3 linked regions of the Oreochromis niloticus genome follow. The protein of the gene in region 1 interacts with the protein of each later gene in a biochemical or structural test. Links are inferred from orthologs where the notes say so. Each region holds a gene or a part of one and is shown on either strand. Other genes may lie near its edges.

Evidence for each region.
Region 2: of the proteins of cullin-1 (region 1) and senp8, one has a biochemical effect on the other in vitro, tested with the Homo sapiens proteins (2 studies listed by BioGRID). The link is inferred for Oreochromis niloticus from reciprocal best matches to the Homo sapiens genes CUL1 and SENP8.
Region 3: the proteins of cullin-1 (region 1) and cdkn1bb form a complex in vitro, tested with the Homo sapiens proteins (2 studies listed by BioGRID, with this or other methods). The link is inferred for Oreochromis niloticus from reciprocal best matches to the Homo sapiens genes CUL1 and CDKN1B.

What each region holds. Positions count from the first base shown.
Region 1 is NC_031974.2:2,231,189-2,239,237, reverse strand, and holds the start of cullin-1, read right to left. Parts: upstream 3,825-8,049; 5' UTR 3,638-3,824; intron 1-3,637. UniProt on the Homo sapiens protein: Core component of multiple cullin-RING-based SCF (SKP1-CUL1-F-box protein) E3 ubiquitin-protein ligase complexes, which mediate the ubiquitination of proteins involved in cell cycle progression, signal transduction and transcription.
Region 2 is NC_031965.2:11,166,698-11,174,821, forward strand, and holds senp8 (sentrin-specific protease 8), read left to right. Parts: upstream 1-4,449; 5' UTR 4,450-4,604; intron 4,605-4,610; exon of another isoform or gene 4,611-4,903; intron 4,904-5,608; 5' UTR 5,609-5,635; coding exon 5,636-6,301; 3' UTR 6,302-6,948; downstream 6,949-8,124. UniProt on the Homo sapiens protein: Protease that catalyzes two essential functions in the NEDD8 pathway: processing of full-length NEDD8 to its mature form and deconjugation of NEDD8 from targeted proteins such as cullins or p53.
Region 3 is NC_031972.2:46,454,977-46,462,930, forward strand, and holds the start of cdkn1bb (cyclin dependent kinase inhibitor 1Bb), read left to right. Parts: upstream 1-4,278; 5' UTR 4,279-4,674; coding exon 4,675-5,116; intron 5,117-5,339; coding exon 5,340-5,452; 3' UTR 5,453-5,458; intron 5,459-6,718; 3' UTR 6,719-7,954. Other genes in the region: yars2 (tyrosine--tRNA ligase, mitochondrial), read left to right, coding at 1-74, 382-552, 2,555-2,714. UniProt on the Homo sapiens protein: Important regulator of cell cycle progression. Inhibits the kinase activity of CDK2 bound to cyclin A, but has little inhibitory activity on CDK2 bound to SPDYA. Involved in G1 arrest. Potent inhibitor of cyclin E- and cyclin A-CDK2 complexes.

The DNA of each region.
Region 1 (8,049 bases):
GGATGGGTCTGCAGTTATTTTATCGTGGTTACTACACAAACCCAAGACCTACAATAGACCTTCTATACTACCCCTCAGTTCTTCCTCTGTGTTCACTCTCAGCACAGCCTGTAACAGCAGGTCTGCAGGTCAAGGTCAGCATCAATATTCAGCATTTGTTAAGTTATTCATCAGTGTCCAGCATTACATTTTCCATATTTCCAGAACATGTTAAGAGTTTTACTGGACCATTTTTCCATTACTACATATACTCCTAGCTGGCTCCATCTACAAAACAACTTATTAGTAGATTTTTTTGACTAATATAAATAACAATAATAACTAATTAGTTACTAAAGCTTTTAAGATAAATGTAGTTTAGCACCTTGTGCACCTTTTACACTCGCCCTTGTATGCTGCTAGAAATAAAGAGGCGAGGCTTCACGTTGCTTAAAATAGAGCCCAGTTTATTATTTTTTAAGGAATCTGTGTCGAGCTCCACGGAGCTGATGAAAAGGACAGGAAGTCAGATGCAGAATCAGCAGAGAGAATGAGCTCAATTTTCAAAATAAAAGACCCCAAGCAGACCAAGTTCTTCTGAAACACTTGGAATATGATTACAAAGCTGGAACAAAACAGCATCAGTCATGGCACCAAAGACACACCTGGTGTGTTTTTGGGGTAAAACTCCAGCAAGGTTTACAAGAATCTGCCAAATTTACAGATGGAAGCCAAACAAGACGTCTGTCTGTTTACAGGCAGATTTCATTTCATCTTCCTTTCTAATCCCACAGCTTTGTCACTGTAAAACAAACAGCAGTGGATGGGAACAGCTGAGGAAGAAAAACACTTTTCTTCATGTTCATGCTTGCTGATCAGGTAACACCTGCTGTAAAGGTTTAGATTGTGATCAGTTTCAAGTCAAACCTTGTTCTTTAATGTACGTCTGCGTTAACTTAACCCTTCTGAAACCCCGGTTTACAGTTCATGCAGATCTACATTCAGTCACAAATGTGAAACAAACTCTTCGCCTTTTCGCTGTATTTTTCACGACTCTAATAAACGTTTCCTCATTTCAGTACCTCAAACACTTCATTTAATGGTAAAACCGGTTGATACCAGCATGAAAAGCAAATCAAGCAAAGGTTTGATTCACAGGTGAACTCAACTGCAAGGAGCCGGCCAATCAGTGTGCTCGACGTACTTTTTAAACTCAGGCCATCAAGTTCTGTTGAACCTGCACGTGCTGAACAAAAGTGTAGAAACAAGATGACGTGAACCATCAGACACGCATTTCAGCTTTCAGCTTTTACATTTGAGCAAAAGGGCCAGTAAAAACAGCAGGACAGTAACAGGTTCAACAAAGGTGTAAATATAACTGCTCTTTGGCATCTTTGTGTGTTTAGACTCTGAAGACGGTAAAACAGATGATGGTGAATACCTTTAATGTCTTTGGCCCACTATAATAAAAGCCTTTTGTCACCTGTTGGCCTTATAATCAGTTTTCTTTTTTAATAACAAATAGGTGACGCCTCACTTATGAGGACAAAAGTGTACATGAAAATCCAATAATTAACACTGTCCTTCAAAATAAAAGCCCTGATAAAGAAAACTAGCAGGCGTTAAACCCTGAGGAGAAACTTCTCTCTTTAAAACTCATCTGAACTGCAGCATTTTAAAACACTGTGGGAGAATCAGCTTTAAAATCAATATAAGGACAAACTCAAAGAAGGAGAAAGCACAGGTAATAAGGTGACTCTGATTACACAATTTTGAGCTGATTATTTCACAATTACATACTGCCGAAGATGCAGATTTATGCAACAAAGTTTAAAACTTGGACTTTACCATAATTTGAGTCTATTTCGACACCTAAAAACACATATTTAAACACTTCATGCCATTGTGGGGGGAAAAAAGTGCCCTACAGCGCTTCATTTAAACAGCAATGCCCTCACTTCTTTATGTTTTTCTCCCTGAGGAGCAAAACTTTCTGCTGGAATATTTCTCCAGCTTTCTGAAGGTCTGTCAAAGTTTTTCTTTGGACTTTAGCTGCTTTTTCACTCTGTTTCAGGCCAGTTTCAGAGGGAAAAAACTATCACTTTTTCTGATTTGTTTAGCTGAATATATTTAATAAAAATGCAGAAGACATTTCTTGCACTATTAGCCAAAGTCTTGGCATTTCTTGACATGTTGTACAGTGAGCCCTCAAAGAAAGAAAGAAAAATGTATCAATCCGAATTTAAAATTTCTGTTTGTCAATATGTACTGAGGTGAGGAGAGCAGCACACCAGTGAGTGTCTACAGCCACTGGGGGCCCTATCATGCTTCATCCAGTGGTGTATCAATGGTCAGAATTATAAACAGTGATGTTTAGATTATGAGTCACCATACAATACCATGGTTACTCATGAGAGCAATGAGCCCACACACACACTGTCCGTGTAGCAAAGACATATATGAATAGAAAACAGACAACTGACGACTGTCAGTTATGGATTCACCTCCACAGAGCCCCACAGCACTGAAGCACTGTGGGATCATGTTGACGGACCAGAACAAAAGACAAACATCCAAAGAAAAGCTTTGAATGTCTGAAGCCTGGAGGACTTTTTAAAGAGTGCTCAGATAACATGGCTCAAACTCCTTAGACTTGTAAAAACTCGGATTTTGCTTTATTTATATTTTAATTTTTTATAAATCGCTGCACATATTTCCCATTACTCCAGAAAAACACAAAGGAGTGAGGTGTAACTCAACTCAAGACTTTTGCTCTATATTGTCCTGTATACTGACAAATACTAGGACTCCATAAAAGGGAAGAAATAATAAGTGAACTAAAGTAAAGAGTTAGAATCCTGTGCAATAGTCATTGACTCTTAATATCTCGTTTTAACGATCAGGGTCTAAAATAAGTGCACTATTTAAATTAAGGAGAACTGTAAGGACGTATATCCAGGAATCTCGATTAGTATGAAAACAGACGTTTTCCAACAGCTGCTTCCCTCTGGCAGCTCAGTGTCAGCAGTACCTCTGACTTCGAGCTTCTCCTAATATCTTAGGAAATGAGCGACCGTATCGCTGCTCCGCTTCACCAGTTGTTCCAGGAGTGTGTCCTGTTCGAATGACCAGACCGCACCGCACCACACGGTTCACAGGGATGTGCTCGAAAAAAGCCTACCCCCGACGGATACTTGGACATATTTGGAATATAATGATCCCCAGTATCTGTTAATTTGGAAAATATTCACTGTGATTATTCCCCGGAATGGAGTCAGGCGCTGCTACGCAATACTGCTAGCTCCCATTAGCCTCTGAGGCTCGATTAGCCTGGTAGCTCCGTCTGCTGCCCGAACGCTGGATGGACCAGCTTCAAATCAAAGCACAGCCTCTATGTGACCCACATTTATCAATCGCTTACACACATGTGTGGTACTGGGACTGTATTCAACATAAAGGCTGTCTTCTTACAGTCAAAGGCAGAGGCCAGGACAGACTAACAGCCTGGTGTAAAATGGCAGCCTAGCTCCTCGAGCTTCTCAATAATGAGTCAGGAAAACAGTTCGCTAACCGCCTAGCATTAGCGTGCTGGCTCTCCGCTTAACAGGCTGAGAGAAAAAAAAATCTTCCCCGGCCCAGCTCTAAAATGTCACCTTACCATTTTAAAGCAGTCCCAGTCACTTTGTAATCGCCGGATGAGTTGTTTTCAGGCCAAAAATCGGTGTCCCGCTGCCGTCTCTGAGTGTGTTTGCTGTCGGTGGCTAACTACGACTGCTGCGCTGCTTCGTTCGCACAAAGATCAGCTCACAGCGCCGCGGCCACTGACTGCAGTTGCCTTCAGGCTCCCTCGGAAATACGCACAGCACCGCCGACACACGCATGCACTCTTTATTATTAAAGAATAGGAGGGCTACAAAATACGGACGTTTGTTTCTGCCACTGAAAAAAAAACATACCAGACAGAGGTGAGACAAAATTTAAACCAACTGCCTCAAAGTTGAACTTTTAAAATAATGACTTACATTTTTGACTTAACTCTGCCTGGCATTTTTTTCTGTAACTGAAAAAATACTTCATAAATAACATTGTGAAAATAATATTGGAAGTTTTTTCTTTCTTTCAAGTTTTCCATTCGGAGAAACAAGTCCAGAATATTCCAAAATGAAGTGAAAATACTATTCCAGATGAAATACTAATAATACAGTCTAAATAAAATCCAAATACTGACAGTAAAGTTGAAATGCTTATGATTTACCCCCTGATTATTTGGATAGATGTGTATCAGTGGTTTTGTATGCAATACTAGTTAAATTGTGAAATACTTCTCTGTATCTGCAGTTACAACATCTGGAGTTCCACAAGGATCTATGTTGGGGGACTGTTTTGTTGTTGTTGTTGTTGTTTTTGCTTTTAACATTCATCCTTCCTGTCAGTAAGCCTGGTGAACTCAGACCCAGGACCCTCTTGCTGCAAGGCAACGCTGCTAACTACTTTTAACCAATTTTAAATTTGACAAACAAATAGGTGCTGAGGTTGAGAACACTTTGTTCTAACGCTAACATTCCCCAAACATGTGGGGAAAACATGCCTGTTACAGGCTGAACACCTGTTTTGTCAAACATTTACCACCTGCTGATCTCTGAAACTGTCGCTCATGGACAGTTTGTTGTTGTGTGTTTTTTAATGCAAGTAGTGTGACTATGTGTTACAGGTGGGGGGATCGATCCAGATATTGATAGTATCAATACCATACTGGTACTGGTATTGGATCCATACTTTGTTTCTGTCCTGTAAGGTCAGCATGTAGCGCACTGAATTGTGTTCATTTGTGTTAAATAAATCAGTATTGGTATCAGCAATACTGGCCCTGTATTTATTTGGTATCATATCAATACCAAAATTTGCAGCATATCCCAGCACTACCATGTGTAGACAGAACCTGAGAAACATTCTGTTTTTCTCTCTCTAATATAAAGTGCATTAATTTAAATTTATTATGTAAATAATATTAACTTACTTACTAAGAATAAACTCAAGCTATAATTATGAGACTCAGATTTGCAAAAGAACAAACAAAGAATAAAACCTAAACTATTCACCAGGCCGGTGTATTTCAGGCGCTAATGGAGATATCTTTAGCTTACTTTGTAAAACCCATAACAATAAAAACACAGAACAGAGGTCAATCGCAGGTCAGGTCTTTTTCAACAATATCAGAGATTACAAATCGTTTATGAAAGACCCTTTGTTGATTTTATTTAATACTCTTGTTAATTTATTAATTTAATTCATTCATAAAGCTACACAAAAATTACACAAAATTACATAACTGAATATGCATTGTTTAAATTTAATGAAAAACCCAATTTCCATGTTTTGAGAACCAAAACTTGTGCTCAGACTTTGTGTTTACAGTCTATTAATGGTACTTATTGTAAATAACTGTGTTTAATGTAAAGAAACAACTGATTTTAGTTTGTGCTGAACTTCAGTAGAGCTAAGCCTGTAGTTATGATCATTAACAGTTAGAGCCCCTCCTCATCATTTTCTTCCTCTTCTTTGGTGCAACCCTATAAATACAGTGTACCCCTTTGGCCTCTCCCCTTTCCTACGATTCCCCTGTGGGAGAAGTTGGTGTCCTTTCTTTTCCAACACTGTACAACACACATATACAGTATATTTAGCCACCCTGATGTTTCTGATTATGTTTTTAGTTCAATTATTGTCATCACAGCTGTGGTGGGTTGAGCTAACCCTCTTCCCAGGAGCTGGAGCGGGCAAGTTAATGACTTTGAGGTCTTTGTTTCTTTTTACCTTTCATTGTCAGACACAACATAACATACCTTCACACCGTGTACATTGTAACATACCTGTAATAGATCCATATTTGGTAATATATCTATATTATTGCCAAAGCACTTTCTGGATGGATGCAAACTGCATTTCGTTGCCTGGTACTGGTAACATGTGCAATGACAATAAAGTTGAATTCTAATTCTAACAACGCAGGAACACACCGGTCACATATACATGTGATTTTACAGTATGTTTTGGGGTTTTTAAAACCTTTTTTGCATGCATGTTTGATTTATATTACTGTTCCCACAGCTTGGTTAAGCTTAACATTGAGTCTTTTTTCAAATTAAACATTAATCTGTGCTCTACAGCAGAAAACAGGGTAAAGACAGCAGAACTGCGAGTGCTACATGTACGATACTTTATTTGCAGTTTTTGGAAATGCGCTTGTTCAGCATGTGGCTCAAATATAACAAAGATCCAAACCCTAAATGACTTTAATTTAAATGATTTCAAACATGCATGTGTAGGCTTATCATTCAAATCTGATAAAAAACAGTTTGAAACACTGGTGTTTTTATCCAAAAATCAAATTTTCAAAGATTTTATTGATTTAAAGTTAATATTCTTTGTCTTGTCTTTATATAATAGTTTTTACTTTAATTACATTCCTTATATTTTGTCATTAAAATAACCAGAAATTAGAATTTTTTAATACTGGAAAAACAAACACAAAGAAACAAAAACATTCTAACACTGAAATGTCTGAGCTTCCCTGGATCCCCTGAATGCTACACCTGCTCCACAAAGTGGCCTCCCTATAAGGACTACAATCATGGCCTCACAGCTGCTTCCCTACAGCTGTCACGCATGCGCAAAGGTGGGTTTTAGTTGCCATATGACACATTTCAATTATGCATGCGTGATACAGAAGCACGATGCTGACATTTAGCTTCCTGGCCTTTAATGTGTGTATGTGAAGGTTATGCAAAGAATTCAAATGGCTCCTTTGACTTGCATTTGACTCATTCTAATGAAACATTACAAAAATAACCACAGTCCTCAGGTTCACTGTGTCTGTGCTTCTCACTGTGCTGTGATCGTTCTACATGAAGGTGTTTTGCTACAGGAATCTGAATGCTCTCCAGTCACCTTTCCTCTTTGTGCAGTGTGATGGTCAATCATCACCGTCTACCCACCCTGTGCACCGCCACAGCCTCTGAAACAGGCAGAACACGACCTCTGCTGGCATGGGAGGAAACACAAGCTTGGATTCTAGCAAGGAAGCATCCTCATCAAAGTCAAAGGGAAGGTGAATCCTCCCCGACGATCTCCGCTGCTGCTCCTGCTTCACTTTATCAGTAAATCCTGAGACCCAGGAGGTAAATTAAAGCTTCAGGTGTCACTGATTCTTTACATGTGTGCATAGATGTATAAAGTTTTACAAAATCTAAAGAAACAATCTCCCTCTCACCTCCAGGTGGTGTTGTGTGTGTCTTCTCCAAGCTTGTATCAACTACCACCTGACAATTTGAGCTTTTCATGTTTCCATAGCAGCCGGATGTTGGAGATTTCTAGTGCAGCTGGGCTGCAGGTAACTGTAACTGTTAGTTTATAAAAGATTTAAAATATTCTAAATAGAAATAATCACTGGCCAGATTCAGCAACCAGGGGCTCCAGCCCAGACCGCTGCCTGATCCACAAAGCACCAAACCCCTACGACCCCTCCTGTGGGTGGAAATCAGAAATCCGGACATGCCTCAAACACCTCGTAGGTGAGGCATTCCCGGTCTTACCTCTGAAACGTCATTGAAGGCAGTTTCAGAGTCGTGGAATAACACCGGAAAACTTTGCGATCTTCATCTTGAAGATGAGTTTTTCCAAATGTCAAAGAGCACGAGCGCTGCTTTCCACACTGAGCTGTGATGCCTCAGACAGAAACCAACTGCTTTAACATTTATTGTAAATATTAAGTGAACATTTTTATTGTTATTGCGTCACAACTTATGACTGACTCTCCTCTCTGCTGCGGGTGGCCACAGCCCGTTTATGTCAGTCCTGCTCTGCTGTCTTTGAATTATGTAAGAATGGAGAGTGGCGTGATGTGTTCACAGGCCACACCTCACAGTCGGTCAGAAGTGAAACGACTTTCATAATTAAGAAGTGTTACGTGAAGTCTGTTTGTTGCAGCAAACATTTTTATTTCCGGTGTTTGCAGCTTGAACACACGGACTCAGTCTGTTGGACACAGCTGCAGATTTAATGAAAACTACA
Region 2 (8,124 bases), on another chromosome or scaffold:
AAGAGTTTCATAGCTAACAGATACACTTAAGCATAATCTCACAGTAGCCTACATCATCTTCTCATTTACTGCGCTGATAACTACAGTAAAGATTAGACAGCAGAAGAATGCCAGCTATTAGTGAGCATGTCTCGGACTGCATTCGAAATCCACCTTATCGCAGCCTGTTTGCTGTCTGTTACCCACGGCTATCTCCGCTCTTCCTCCCCTTCTGCCTCATTCTGACAGTGAACAGACTACCGTAAACTGCCAGGATTTCTCACAGATAACAACGGCAGTGTAGTGCAAAGACAGAACTTTAAACTTCATTTCTTCCTGTCCTCTGGACTGTCCTGCAAACCAGCAATAACAATTCATAAATCATATTTCTCTAAGGTTTTAATATTATATTTGGCGCTGGTTAAATATCCAAATCTATTGTAATGTTGTCTTCTTCTGCTATAACAATATTCAAGGCTTTAAGAAAACGATAAACTCAGTCAGTTCAAAGTTTTAAGTGGTTTCGAGGTAGGAGCACTCTGTAGGTGGACAGAATTGTGTAACATTACACAACAGCACATGCCTGGGGATTAACCACGGGCTCTGTCCAGTCTGTACCATGAGGCTGCAGGGGGCCAGTAGCTATTGTCACAGCTGTGTCACAACACACACCCACAAATCCACAACTTTAGTTTCTTGCTTATAGTCTTCTGTCATCATGCACAGTTTTTGCAGATACACAGCTGTACTTTGACAAAAGTAGAATTCTGAAATTAGTGTTTCTATGGGGCTTAAACTCTGTGTTTTTTGGGGGGGGTTTTGTTTTTGTGCTCTAATTACAATTTCCACAATCCGTCTAAGCCTTAAAAATTCAAAAAATAAATTAGGATGCAAGTGAGAATCCCCGTTCACACACCTATTCATTTAATTAAAATAAAAGAAACCACAAAGGTTTTGAACACTTTCTTCTCTGTCCAAAACAAAGACACAGAGGATTTAATTTAATTTAAAAGGATACAAAGTGAGCTTCCAGCAAGACCAGTGCTGTTTGTTCACTCTGTTTCCCCATTGTGAAGGATTAATTAAAGAACAAGTTAGGCTTTTTTCACATAAACAAAATTGCAAAGAGCAACACAATGCACTTTCTTCTCTCTCCATCTCACTCCAACTACTGTTAGCACCAGCGAATTAATGAGGGGAAATGCAAAACGTGGGGAAGCTGAGCCTGTGAGGCCAAAGCCACCCTCAAATAATGGCGTACTAAAGAAAGGAGAGCTTTGTTCAGTGCAACACAAGCAGGTTCCTCTTTAATGACTTCATGTGCATGCCAATCACTTGCGCCACACAATCTCAAAACGCAGCCACGCCACTTTTCAGGATAGGCCAAAGTTTTAAGCAGGCAGCATGTGACTGATAGCAGCAGGTAATTCAGTCCAGCAGGTAACACCTCAGGGGATGATAACTGGAAGGTTATGCTAGAGTTTAGACGAACGGTGCCCATGGGAGATCACAGGAGCTCTGGTGGATGAGCAAAGAAGTAGTCACAAGACAAATGGGCTGTTAGTTCTACTCTCAAGAGAACAAAACAGCATCTATGAGCTAGTGGTAATTCATTGTTTTAAGCACATCACAGTTACAGTCTGTGGGTGTTTAACAGGAGCAACTTTGTTGTTGCAGGTTATTAAGATCTGTGCATGGCAAAAATAAAATGTGTTATGAGGAGGTCTTTCAAACGAAACGGGCAAGTGTAAGTAAAGATTCGATCTTAGTGTTACGTAGACCCCAATGACATCTTGAAAACCAAATAATGAGTTACTGTATTATTTTTTCAAAATATTTAATTTGCCCCCCCCAAAAAAGCTTTAAATTATACATATAAAACAGTCACTTCCCTTCCTATGCAGCTTCTGCCATCACTCTTTGAGATGCGCAACTACTGTGAACTGGAAAATCCTCAGAGAGGCTAAAACTGTTCAGTTTCATTTTCCAAAGTTTCAATTTCAAAGGCACTGAGTTCAAGTTAGACACAAGGAGGAGGGCCAAAGGAAGGCCACACACTGGCTCTTCTTATTGGAGAATGACAGTCAGCACTGACTAAGTCCCAGACTGTAGCGATCAAAAGAACAGCTAAAACTTAGTATGGAGCAACACTACTTTGCATATGAAGGTTTGCGATTTGGTAACTCGAACCTTCAAAAACTTAAAAACATTTCTTTAAAGTATTCCTAGTAAACCACAGACTGCCTCCAACAACAGCAGTGGTTAGCTCCTCTGAGGAGCTCAAATCTGAGCCCTAAGCTGCTAAATCACAGCTTCAATCTTTCAGGTGGCGTCTGCGAGACCGTTCACTGCACACCGATGTGATACAAAACTGAGGCCGGTCCTTTAGAAATAGCAGACAGAGGGGTCTGTGGGGTGTCAGATGTCAACAGGGACCAGTTGCTGGAGTCTCAGCCCGGGCTTCTTCTCATGCTGCAGCAGCTGTGTCTTCTCAGACCTCACATTCCTGCAGGACAGGCCCACTTTACCCTCATCACCTGTGCTGATCTGAGGGCAGGACAAGCTCTCAGGGGCACCTCACCCACCGCAACATTAATTTAAGTCATTTTCCTTCCTTCCTTCCTTCATTTTTTTTTAAAACAATAATCATCTAACACCAAAATGAATATTTGAAAATGATCATAGAAATAAAAGTCAGGAGCATGCTGACAGTCTATGGACTTTTGCACAAATTGGATGATCTTCTGGTGACATCTGTCCATTTATAAAAAGGTATAAAAAATTACTTAAGGTAATCAGTAAGCACAGCAGATCAACTCAACACTAACTTGCATAAAAATTAGGCTATAGTCTGTTAAGGTAAACTATAGTAACTATACTATAAAATCGATAAAAACCCACTCAGGTGCATTCAAGATACACAACCATCCCATGTAAAATCTGTCTAAAGTCAGCTCTCCATCCACAAACACACGTACACACACAGAGAGACACAATGCCCATGATTCAGCAGCTTCTTCACCCCATTAGACCTCCCTGTACAATTACAGCTGCTTTGCAGTGCATATTGCCTTCAGTGCATTATAAGCTGCTCTGTCTGACCTCCACTAAATAATACATGTAAACACTTACCCCGCCCTGCCGCAGTAATAGCTCCCATTTCTGCAGGACCGTGAATACATAACACCTGATTTATGTCGCAGTGACATATTGTGTACGGTTTCATGTACGTATATCCTTATTTTTGCTGTCTCAATCTTTGCATGCATTGGTGTTCCCCTATGCTTTTTGCAAACCTTGTTTGAGCTTGTAATGGATAAAAAAAAACGCCCCCTGTCAATGGTTTGCAGATAAAAATGAGCCCTTTGTAATTTGTATTGTGCACTATCACAAATAAAATGAAAGAATAAAATAAATCCAGCCTGCATTTATCATGTTACATGTGGTTGTTATTCTTATAAACTGTCCTTCAGCCAGCTGTAGCTGTGGAGTAAGCACTCTCTGTAGTGTGAAATGACATCTGAGTGAGGAGCAGCCAGAACTTTTTACAGGCTCACATCACACACAGCTCTGACAGAGATTCCTCAATGAACAAAAGCACCGACTGAGCCCCCCAAAACACACACACACACACACACCTTAAGTCTGCCAACTGAAAACGATGCTGCAAATGAGTGCAGGTCATAAGAAGTTTCTTACGGACTACAACTGAATCATAGGTTCACTGGCAGCTTCCAGCCAGACGCCTATCGTCCCACAGCGGGGCAGCCCGACGCACCACAGTAGATAACTACTACTAAACATCACTCTTACCTCCAGACGTGAGCTGTAAAGTCAATTTAAAGTGGCACTTGAGTTTTCCCGTCTCTTGTCAGGCTTGACCGTGGAGCCACACACACTTGTAGGCACGCAAAAAATCACAGTCTCTATTTAATTCCCTGCATTCCCACTGAATTAATTTGCTTTCTTCTCACTCGCCTCACTTGCCTCCGAGCAAAGTCCTCGAAAGTCAAGTCCGTGTTGAAAACCTACGCATTTTTTCTTTTTCTTTTTTATCCGAGCATGTTCGCAGTATGAATCCAATTAAACGGCAGTTCTTCGCTGCTCGGTCGCTGAAAACTCCTCTCCGTCTTGCTAATCAGTGCGGCTCAGCATTGCGCGTTCACGCCGCTGATGGGAGGGGAGAAAACACGGAGGGGGAGGGGCGGAGCGAAGCAACCGGAAGTACCCTGAAACACACAGGGCAACAGTGACCACACTGCACCTCTCGGTTTCCGATAATGGATTATAAACTTTTGGGGTCATGTTAGAGTTTTTAAAAAAAAAACATAAAATGACGGAAATCCACTTGATTTTAAAATGCGTGGTTCTCGCCTTATTCGCTGTAAAATGCAAAGAAAGACACTTCTCCAGTGCTTGCATGTAACGACACAGAATGTCAGTTTTTCAGTAACGCTCACGCGCCCATACCCGAATGCAAGGAGCCAATCACAAGCAAGCTTATCTCCACCCCACTGTCGCAAAATGTTACGGTCTTCTCGCCGTGGTTTACGATAGTCATTGCAATGAGGGGCATCACCGCTCGTGTTTTCGTGGTACTTTTAATTTGAATGTGTCATTTACAGGTAGGACACTAAACGGACACTGTGTATTTCAGTTTGGCAGCCCACGGTTGATGTGGCGCATGCTCAGGCTGCTGTTTAACTCAGTTTTTTGGCTTCGAGTGACGCTAAAAACTGTCGGTTAGCGAGCTCAAGCTAAAAACGCAGGCTCGCTTGAGCGGAGAGCTGCCTGCTGAAGTAAACGCATTGCAGTAATGTGATGCTCCGCAGTGGATTCCCGGCCCAGCAAAGCGCTACTGTAACATCTCTGAAAATAACCTGATCGGCCAATGCGCTAAGACGGCTCCAGTTAATGTGTCTGAGTGAGTAATAAAGCAAAGTAGCGAACAGAAAGTCAACAAGGATCCCAGAAACAGGCAGCCTGCGTTAGCTTCAGTGAAGTTTAACAGTTTGTGCGAGTTGCTTAAATGAACACAGACTGTGACTGCGTTTGAATCACTAGTTCAGGATGAGATCTGTGGAAAAAAAAAAAAAAAAAAGCTTCATGTTTGAAACCAGTGCCAGGCTGTTCTGGCCAACTGGCATCGGAATGAAGCCTTTTGCATTCTCTAAGAAACCCAAATGACTCCTTTAAATTCGGCAGATTGCTCCCCCTCCCTAAACCTGTTTCTGCTGGAGCTTTCTTCCTGTTAAAATTTAGTTTTTCCTTCCCACTGTCGCCCAGTGCTTGCTCAAAGGGTGGTCGTCTGATTGTTGGGTCTTTACCTTACAATATGAGGCTGCTTGAGGTGCAGTAGTTGTGATTTGGTGCTGTATAAATAAAACGGAATTGAATTTATTCTGTGAAATTACTGCTCTGCTGAGTAGTTGATCAACAGCTGCTAAATAATATTGCCTGTGACATCACAGCATCCTTAAGGTGGTATGTGCTGATTGAACCTATTGTAGAAACCAGCAGTACGAGACAAAGAAAAGCAGTTCTCATATTAAAGAAAACACAAGGAGTAAATTTCTGATGAATGAATTAGCCGAGCCCTAAGCATTAAATCGTTTCTCTGTATTTTCAGACTGACACACTCTGACTGCTCTGGAGGATGGATCCTGTAGTGCTGAGCTATCATGACAGCCTGTTGCGGCGCTCTGATGTCTCTCTACTGGAAGGACCTTACTGGCTTAATGACCAAGTCATTGGTTTTGCCTTTGAGTACTTTGCTGCCGAGCGCTTTAGAGCCCTGGGGGAAGCCGTCATCTTTATCAGCCCAGAGGTCACCCAGTTCATCAAGTGTGCTTCCTGCCCTGATGAGTTGGCATTGTTTCTGGAGCCACTGGATCTTGCTTCTCGTCGCTGGGTCTTCCTAGCCGTGAACGACAACTCGAACCAGACCGCTGGAGGGTCCCACTGGAGCCTCTTGCTTTATCATCACAACTCCAACCACTTTGCCCACTATGACTCTCAAAATGGCAGCAATTCACTTCACGCACGGCGCATCGCCAGCAAGTTGGAGCCTTTCCTGGGCGCAGGGCGGAAAGCGCTGTTCGTCGAGGAGCCCTGCCCATCCCAGCAGAACAGCTATGACTGTGGCATGTATGTTATCTGTATTGCCGAGGCCTTGTGCGAGAAGGCCCGGGTGGAGGGCTCGCCACGCCTTCCTGTGCAAATGATCACCCCAGCCTACATCACCCAGAAGAGGGCCGAGTGGTCCAGACTGATCCAGAGCTTAGCTCAAAATGACCTCTGCTGCTCGCTGTCTTTCCCTTAGCACGTCGATTGCCCCGCACTATATGCAGAAAAGCTGTCACCCCACATATCTACTGCTGGAGAATCTGAATGCACTCCCTCAATACAGTATATAACTATATATATGAAATCTATTTCTATTACAGTCTCTGTCCTACTCCATTATCAAAAAAGTTAAAAACATAAAGCAATGCTTCAAATATTTAATGATTTCAGAGAACTATTGGTGTCGTGTATATGCACAGAAACGAAAAGTATGTAAACAAGAACACCAGCATGCCTATAAAACAGATTTTCTCCTGTGTACATATTGAGCGAGGATGTGGAAGAGGAGGCACAGACTTTTTTTTTTTTCTCCATTTTCTGAGTTTGGAGCGAATGTAGAAATGTTTACACAGATTATTGCTCAGGGTCATTTTAAATGAACTGAATTGACAATAAGAATGTGCACATGAACTCTGGCTCCTACTTTTGTCACACAGTCATTGTGTTCGTCAGCTTGAACATGCATACTTTTAGTTTTTGAGATAATTTGAAGAATTCCTGCTGTATGAGGGTGCCGACGTGCTGTGAGTGTTTATGGAACAAAGGGCAGTGTTGGGTGGTGGAATGTATCCAACTCACTGTCTGTCGAGCTAATAAATGTGACTCTTGTCACGTTTTTGTTGACACAGTGGTACAATTATTTATTATTTTTAATTTTCTTTCTCTTGTAATTTAAGTCATTTTATGTCAGAAAAATTAACTGCACGCTGGTTTACAGGTGGTTACATCACTGAGGAAATTACATTTGCAGATGTACTGAAGCTTAAATGTGAGATTTCTAGATTTTTATTTTAACCTCCTGTGTTATTGAATGCAGAAGTGTTGCAAGCACTGTCATAAAATATGGCACCCAAATGTTTATCTGCTTTTGAATACCTTAAGTTTTAAATGTTCCTATTTGGGTCATTAGTTGAGTGTTCCTTGGTGATGGATGATGACATGAATCAGTATCTTAAAAAAGTGCACTAACAGCAGTAATTTAGTACTCAAAGTGGAATGAAGCATAATATTCAGGTTGTTACATTCAGCAGTTAAAGGCCCAGCTGACTAAGAAAAACTAAGCAGAAAACATAAGTGGCAAAGTATTAAGTTCACTGTATTTTAATTGGAAAAAAAGTGGCTTTAATGTGTTTTTTCTTTACAATGGTAAACACGAGCTTCAGTTTCAAATCATGACATCAGTATACGTGTAAGGAATCTCAATGAGCCAAATACTCAGACTTCAGACTGCTTTGCATGCGACAAAACAATTTTTGGCTTCCTGTGATGTCAGTGAGAGCAGATATTACTGATGACATCGCAGACAAACAGCTCTGGGTGTCAGCAAATAAGTCCCGGCCATCTGCTCTTTAAACCTTCTGTTTGTAAGGGGCAACCAATCAGAAGAATGTTAGCTTAAAGGCAGAGCACGCAAAACAGCTTGTTTTAGAGAAGGGAATTTGAGGACCTGCGCCAGGGTCCAGTATAAGATGAAGAAAAGTCAGAACTGCGAATCATGCACAGCTACTTTAATCAAGTAAAAATAGAAAACAGAAGGAGCTGGAAATGAGAACAATAGTAAAGACTTTTTCACTTCACTAGCTCAAAATAAACGAAACAACTGTAATTTTTAGAGACATCAGAAATGTCCCCCCCCCCCCTCTGTCCCCTTCTGGCTGCCTCTGCCTCAATTTTATCTCACAACTTAGAGATTCACATTACTCACACTCTCATAACACATACATATAGGATCTTGGGGGTGGGCACGCAACACAGACTCCAAATTACCATCAGGGTGTACAACCTCACCCCTGGCATCGT
Region 3 (7,954 bases), on another chromosome or scaffold:
CTCGCCCACAAAAGACTGGCTGCTGAAGTGACAAAACTGGTGCATGGAAAGGAGGGCCTGGAGAGTGCAAAGAGGTAAGAATTGATCGTCTGTGTGTTTATTACTCTAAATTATATATTTTATTTTTTTGAATCCGTATACATATTTTATTCATCTGGAGCTCTTTCAGCTGTAACCTATTAGAGTCAAAGTGTTTAGAATAGCAGGATTATGCTCTGCCAAAAAGTTGAAAGTTGTAGAAAGTACAGTAAGAGCTGTTGAGGAAGATTCCAAACCCTTAACTATTCAGTGCTCATTGCTGTAGTCTTTGCTCGCTGTGGCTGCCCATGTTCTCTGTCTTCTATGTGGAAAGAATGGTCATATCTAATGTTGTCGTTGCAGATGCACCAATGCACTTTATCACAGCAGCGTGCAAGCCTTGGAGGAAATGAGTGATGAGGAGCTTCAGGAACTCTTCAGGGAGGCACCTTTCCATGAGCTGCTGTTGGAGCCGGGGACAACTGTTATAGATGCCTGCCGCAAGGTCGGCGCCATCCCTGAGGGACCCAGAGGGTAAGCACCCCAGTTCTCCTTTATTTAAATGCGGTATGTAGTGATTTGATGTTAGTGTGAGCATACATGCACCCAGAGATCCACAGTGTAATCTGCTGTGTATGGTGTGTAATGCAGTTACACATTCTGGGTAGTAGAGGTGGGGGGATTGATCCAACTGTCGATACCACCGATACCAAAGTTGGTATTTGTATCAGAACGAGAGTAGCAAGATAAGATCGATTCTTTGTTTCTATCCTCTAAATTCAGCATGCAGCCCGCTGAATTTTGTTAACCAAATTATTTTTTAGTAAATGAAACTATAATCTTCAATGAAAAACATCTGAACCTTTTTGAGTTGACTGTCACATCTATTTTATTTCTATCCTGTAGAACACAAGTGCTGAAGAGTAGTGTTTTTTGCAGCAGGTGCAGGAGTTTGTGGTCTCTGTTCTCCACTGGTACCGCTCACAGGTCGCCACAACAACTTCTTTGTGTACGAGGTGTAACAATAACACCCAGTCACGATCACGCAGTCAAATTTCATAAGCTGGTTTCCTGAAAAAAATAAGCATAAAGGTTTTCTTTGTGTTAGCCGGGTTGCAGCTGCCCCTACAGCCCGTGACCATGTAACAGTTTGATGTGTGCCTTTAGTGCAACGATAGCAACCAGTCACATTCACGCTGCCACATTTCAAAAAGCTGTTTTGTAGAAAACAAAAGCGTTTTCTTTGATTCTAGCTCTGCTGTCATGTAGTTACAGCCAAGATAAATGCCACATCTAAGGTGCATAATGTAGCAACAGCCCTGCAACATGTAAACAGTTAAATGTGTCATAATTATAGCTTACCAGCATAAAAATGTCATGATCAGATTAACGTGTTTTCAAAAATGTTGTTGAAAAGTTTGTTTCCTTCTTCTGGCTACTACCCAAGCCGTGCAAAGCTGCAAAACGAACCCAAATCATCAGCCCTCCACCGCCGTGCTTGACAGTTAGTATGAGGTGTTTGTGATATGCTGTATTTGGTTGACTCCAAATGTGAAGGTCAAGTATATCCACATTGGTCTTGTTTATTCAAAGGACAGTTTGCTTGTTTTTTTCTGGAGAGAGGAGGCTTTTTTCTGGTAACCCTTCCAAATAAGACTTGTTAACTCTTTTCTAATTGTACCATCATGAACTTCCGCATTTAAAAATGCTAACAAAGGCCTCTACTGTCTGTGATGTATCTCTTGGGTTTTTTGGAGTTTCTCTGAACATTGCATAGTCTGACCTTGGGCTGAATTTGCTGGGATGTACACTTGTCTGAGGATGGATAGCTCCCTTGAATGTTTCCGAGTTGTGAATAATCATTCTCATTGTACAGAGATGGAGTTGAAATTATTTGGAAATGACCTTATGACCTTTTCCAGTGTTGATTTGTTAAGGCCACTGCTGTCTTTCCTTCTTGGCACTATGTTAACATGTGCCTGAATGCCTCAGACCAGTAAACTGCCAAAACTTTTATATAGGTGCTCACACTTGTAAATGATCAGTTAAGTCCATGTGATTAGCAACACCTGGATCCTCCTCACTCTCTAAATTCCTATGGAAGAATACAGAGTGTACTTTCTTTTTGTACTTGGGCAATAGTGGCTCAAGATTTGGCAGTTCGTCTTGTGATCAGAAGGTTGCCGGTTCGAGCCCCGGCTCCGACAGTCTCGGTCGTTGTGTCCTTGGGCAAGACACTTCACCCGTTGCCTACTGGTGGTGGTCAGAGGGCCCGGTGGCGCCAGTGTCCGGCAGCCTCGCCTCTGTCAGTGCGCCCCAGGGCAGCTGTGGCTACAACGTAGCTTGCCATCACCAGTGTGTGAATGTGTGTGTGAATGGGTGGATGACTGAATGTAGTGTAAAGCGCTTTGGGGTCCATAGGGACTAAGTAAAGCGCTATACAAATACAGGCCATTTACCATTTCACGTGACTTTTAGATCATCTTTTTAAAGATGAAACCCTGTCCTAACTGACGGTGTAAATGTTTGTGTGCAGGTATCAAATGGTTTCAGATGGAGCAGTGTGGATCAACCACACGCGTACAGACAACCCGGAGCAGGTACTGATCCCCAAACTCCACATCCTGGCTAATGGACTCACGCTGCTCAGAGTGGGCAAGAAGAACTTCTACATTATCAAGTGGCTTAGCCTCTGACGGTGCCTTATCAAGCAGGGGACCACTATATTGTAATGGACTAACTGGGAAGGTAGGCGACTACACCTCAGCAGAGTCAGGAAGGATCATTTTTCCCTTTTTTGGATATAAATATGTGTATGTACAGATTAAATGTTTATTTAAAACCATCCTATTAAAAGCGTTTGATATCACGATTGCTTCCTGCTTACTTTGTATGGATATTGAGAGTCGGTGTGATGACCACTAGGGGGCACCATTGCCCCAGAATTAATGGTGGCCAGCCAGCAGCCACAGCTGCAGCACATAGCCTGCTGTGACCTCTTAAGTAAATAATTGCTCACAGTAAAATTAAATTGCATCATTTCTTGCAGGTTGCTTGCTTCTATTTTAAGCAAATCCAATTTGTTTCATCTTGATCAGAACCTGAGGCGAGCATCTTTTTTGACATCACTCTTTTGTTTGGGGTTTTTTTAGGGGTTTTTCTTTTTTTTTTCCCCTTCAGTGGAAAAGTGTAAAACTTGGACGATAAAGAAAAAGAAGCTGGAAAAAGAAGCTTGATAAATTTAAAAACAAACAGTACTTTTGCTTGAAGATCACCTTTTTAAATAGAGCCTTAAATAAGAAAAAAAGTTTGGACATTATTTTCAAATTAAATTCAAAGCAGGGATTTGTACATTATTGTTGACCTGACTTGTGTTGAAAGCAACACATCTGCTCATTTTTAGCAGATTACTGTTTTTTTTCTAACAGATCCCTCCTCCTTGCAGGTAATGACCAAAACATTTAATCTAGTGTCCTCAATATGAGAGTCGGTGTAAATTTAGAAATCACTGCTTTGCACTTTTGCACACCCTGCCTACTTTTTTCCAGATTAGGGTTAAAAACATAAAATTAAAATTTTCCATATTTTTCTTTTTTTATTGGTAATTTCTAATGGGATTTGGATGGTGCTAGGGATTTGTGTAAACCTGCTAAGTTTTTCCTGAGGTGTCGGGGAAAAAAACTTTAGCATTGAGTACTTTTGGCTTCTTCTTTTTTTTAATTCTAAATTTGCTGAGTTCTGATACTGTGTGGTTTTTTAGCAGTGTGTTTTTTGTGTTGTTTTTTTTGCTCTGGGTTCTGGTGGCAGTGTGGACAGAGTCTGATGTGTGCTGACCTTGACCTTCCCCACTGAGGTGCAGATAATTGGTGGAAATGGCATGTCATAAAGATACACATTAGCCAGATTGGCACAGTTTTTTTTTTTTCTTTTTTGCTTTGTTTGTTTTGTTTTAATTTAATTGTTCTGCACCTGTTAGGAGTGATTTGTTATGCTATTTTTTATTTCAAAGATTACAATTTATCTTATTTGACACAGCCATGACAACATTTATTATCAATTACCTTTTTTTTGTACATCCTTTTTCCCCCACTCACAGTTATTTATTATACGTTAATTACAGAGTTACATATATACATGACACTCACACGCTGATATTTTTTGTTTTAAGGGAAAAAGAGAAATCAGAGCGGCTTAATTTAGCCGGTCCACCTTAAGAAAAGTAGGCGGGCTTAAAAACTCTGACCAATGAGCGACCTCTTTGGGAATTTAAATAGCTCAGTATGTCAATCATGCCCCTACCCCCACATCAACCTTTCGCCATATTGGGCGAAAGAGAAGGGTTGTCTGCAGTTTCTCTCGCTACGGGACAAAATTGACAGAGCGCCTTCAGTTCCTGAGCACTTTGTTTTGATGAGACTACGCAGGGCTTCACAACACGGCGGCTGTTCGCGTCTTCGTTCCGACGTATGCATGGCATAACGCGTTTTACGCTTGTTTTGGAGCTTTCTCAGCGAAGAGGAGATAACCGTTGTTTTTGAGTGTTGTGTGTGTGTGCGCGTGTGTGTGCTGCTTTTTTGTTTGTTTGTTTTTTTCCTCCTCGTGAAAAACTGGACGCTCCGGGCTGTTTTAAAAAATTGCGTGTTTCGCTGGAGCAAAATGTCAGATGTTCGACTTTCAAACGGGAGCCCGACGCTGGAGCGGACGGACTCACGGCAGTCTGAACACCCGAAACCCTCAGCCTGCAGGAGCCTCTTCGGCTCGGTGGATCACGAAGAGTTAAAGAGGGATTTAAAGGGACATTTGCGGGAGTTGGAAGAGCGCGCCTCCGACCAGTGGGGCTTCGACTTCGCCACTGACACGCCGAGGGCCAACTCCAGGTTCGAGTGGAAACTAGTGGATTGCAGAGACCTGCCGGGCTTCTACACTCGGCAGCCGCTTACGAAGAAAGGCGTCTGCTCCACTGGGAATAACAATGTGGATCTTAACGGGAATCACAGTTGTGTTGTGGTGCCTCCGAGCGAAGATCCCGACAGGGCTGACGGGCAAATGGAGTGCACGGAACAGTGTACAGCGCTGAGGAAAAGACACGCGTGTCACGGTACTACATACGCTCCAGTTTAACCCGTTTACATCAGTTGTTTCTGAGCAACGCAGCTGATCGCGTATTGATCTGCACCGAAAATAGATTTTTGAAAATCATGGCCCCAAAAAAGCACTGTTAAAGAGTGGGGTTTGCCTGCAACACTGTACCAATATTTTTTTTATTTTTTTTTTTAAGAAATGACGAAAATTTTTTTTTTTTTTTTTTTTGCTTTTTGCAGACTCCCCTGTTCCGAGCAAGAGGTCACACAGCAGCTCAGATGTTAGTTGTCCAAGTCGGAGTCACTCTGCAGAGCACACGCCCAGAAAGACCAGTCCCAAGAGGAAAACGTGAGAAAAGGTAAAGACTGTTTATGCAATAGTTTCCCCTTTTTTTTCATCTTTTTTTTTTTTCCATTAAGGAAAAGCAAAGATTTCTTTAAAAGAAAAAAAAAAAAAGGCCTGTGCATAGTGTAACTACAGTAGGCGGTTTACTGGCCGCTCCATCTCCCAGCTGGGGGGTACCTTTGGAAAACGAGTAAATCTGCAAAAACATCCGTTTATTCATTTAATAAAAATTTGATACCGCTTATAAACCATTAGGAGGCATTCTAATTCAGCTTAAACACCCCTTCAGTTCACTTAAATAAGATTTGGATGATGCACAGCTTTGACAGTCTGCATACCTTTTGTGCACGCCCTTCAAATGTGCTGTCAGTCTGTCTCATTCATTAATCAGCGGGGACAGAAGCATAAGGGAGTAAAAGGGGTTCTTCGGTTTTTTTTGGTTTTTAATTTTCCACTCGGGCAGAGAGAGCTCTGTCGATACACTGCGATCGAGGTGAAACAGTGGAAGGCAAAACAAACAAACAAAAAAAAATGCCTGTACATTTTAAAGATCTTTAACATTTAACCGCTGTCTGACACGGTGAGTCCGTTGAGTTTCCGTCGAAACTTGTAAACAACAAGTGCTGAACAACAGTGTAGTAGTGTAACACGTCAGCAACTCAGAGCAGGGACGGGAAGGGGCTGGTCTCTGTGTGCAGTGCTGCACACGCGTTGCACACTAACGTTACAACACACATCTGTCCCTGCCGGTGGAGAGTGTGCAGAAGAGTCGTGCAGGTCTGAAAGCAAGTGTGTGTGTATTGGCCAGGGCGACGTCCAATAGGCATGAAATCAGCATTGTTATGGCACGATGTTAACTGTCAAAGCTGGGGGGTGGTCACGTCTTTTTAATGCATTTTATTTATTTCCATTTTTTTAAATTGTAGAAATCAAAAAATACCCCCAAACGAGGCTGTCTCATAGGCACTTTCAGATCTTTTCATGATTAATGAGGGGTGCTAATGTAAAACTATACCAGTGTTTTTTTTTTTTGTGTTTTTTTCCTCAGGTGGGTCTTTATGTATTTATGTATTAATACATGTACAAAACTGATTAGTTCATTCAGGTCTCCTGCTGCTCTGAGGTTTACCCCTTAGACCACACTAAGTTATTTATTTTATTTATTCATTTATTTGTTTGCAGAAATTGTTGCATAATGCCCACATTAGTGTCATCATTGCAACCTCTTATGCTTCTGTTTTTTCTTTCTCCTTTCATCTGTTTTGTCCCACAGAACTGAAGATGAATGCCCCCCCCCTCCTTGTTTAACATGGAGAAACCTCAGTGTTGGCTGGTTTGTTTGTTTGTTTTAGGGGTTTTTTTGTAATTTTTTTTTTTGTTGTTGTTGTCGTTTTAGTTTAGTGTTTTGTTTTGTGGGGGGTTTTTTTGTTTTGGGTTTTTTGGGGTTTTTGTTTTTTTGTTTTTGTTTTTTTTTGTTTTTTTTTTTTGTTTGTTTTTTTTGTTTTTTGGAAGAGGATCTACACAGCATCAGAAACATATCAACCTTCCTGAAGATTGGGGAGGACGCTGTTGAAGCACTGAATAGAAACACTAAATTTTTTTTGGCACTTAATTAAAAGTTACTGCCTCTAAAAGCAGTCGATGTAGCAGTGTGCAATTAGGTTTAATTTACTTTGCTCCTTTTTTTTTTTTCTTTTTTTTTTTTTACTACCTGTGTGTAAATAAAATTATATATATATATAAATATATAAACATATATTATTTCTCTCCATATGTAGCACATAAGACATTATGATTTAAAAAGAAATCCTTTATGTAAAACGGTGTGAATTTTGATTTGACTTGAATTGCAATGTTTGATAAATGTTTCCAAAATGCTGTTCTGTTATTTTTATTTTAGTTTTATTTTTTTTGGGGGGGGGGGTTGTTGATACGGTCCCTTATTGCTACATTTAAAACAAAAATCTTGGCTTCTTACAGTTTCTTAATAGTGTTTCTTCCCTCGTCATCTTCCTAACTCAGCATTGAAGAATGGTACAAATGTAGCGTTTTTTGTTGTTTTTTTTTTTAAATAATTTTTTCCCCCTTCTTCTGGTCAGTCCAGTGTCACAAAGTGTAAGTTCTCCTATACAAGCTAGTTCAACAGGAAGAAGTGTAGTATTTGTGTAAGGACAGTCTTTAAGTCAATTGATATTTATTTTGTAATTGAGGTGCTTTTAGCATCAGCTGAATCCTGGAATAAGATTATTATTATTTTTATTTTTTTTCCCCTCCCACGCTCTGGAGTTGCGAGGTACTCAGATATTGAAGGACAAAGACTATACAAACTGCACAGGTTGTGTTCTCCTTGACTGTTCCTATTGTTTGATGAACATTAAGGCTTGTTTTTTGTTTTTTTTGTTTTTAAGGGTTGAATGTCCTACAATACCAAATACATGGTTGCATCAATATGTTTGCCAGCACTGCTTGTGCTCTTCAATTGACTTCACATTGTGTTACTTTGTGATAA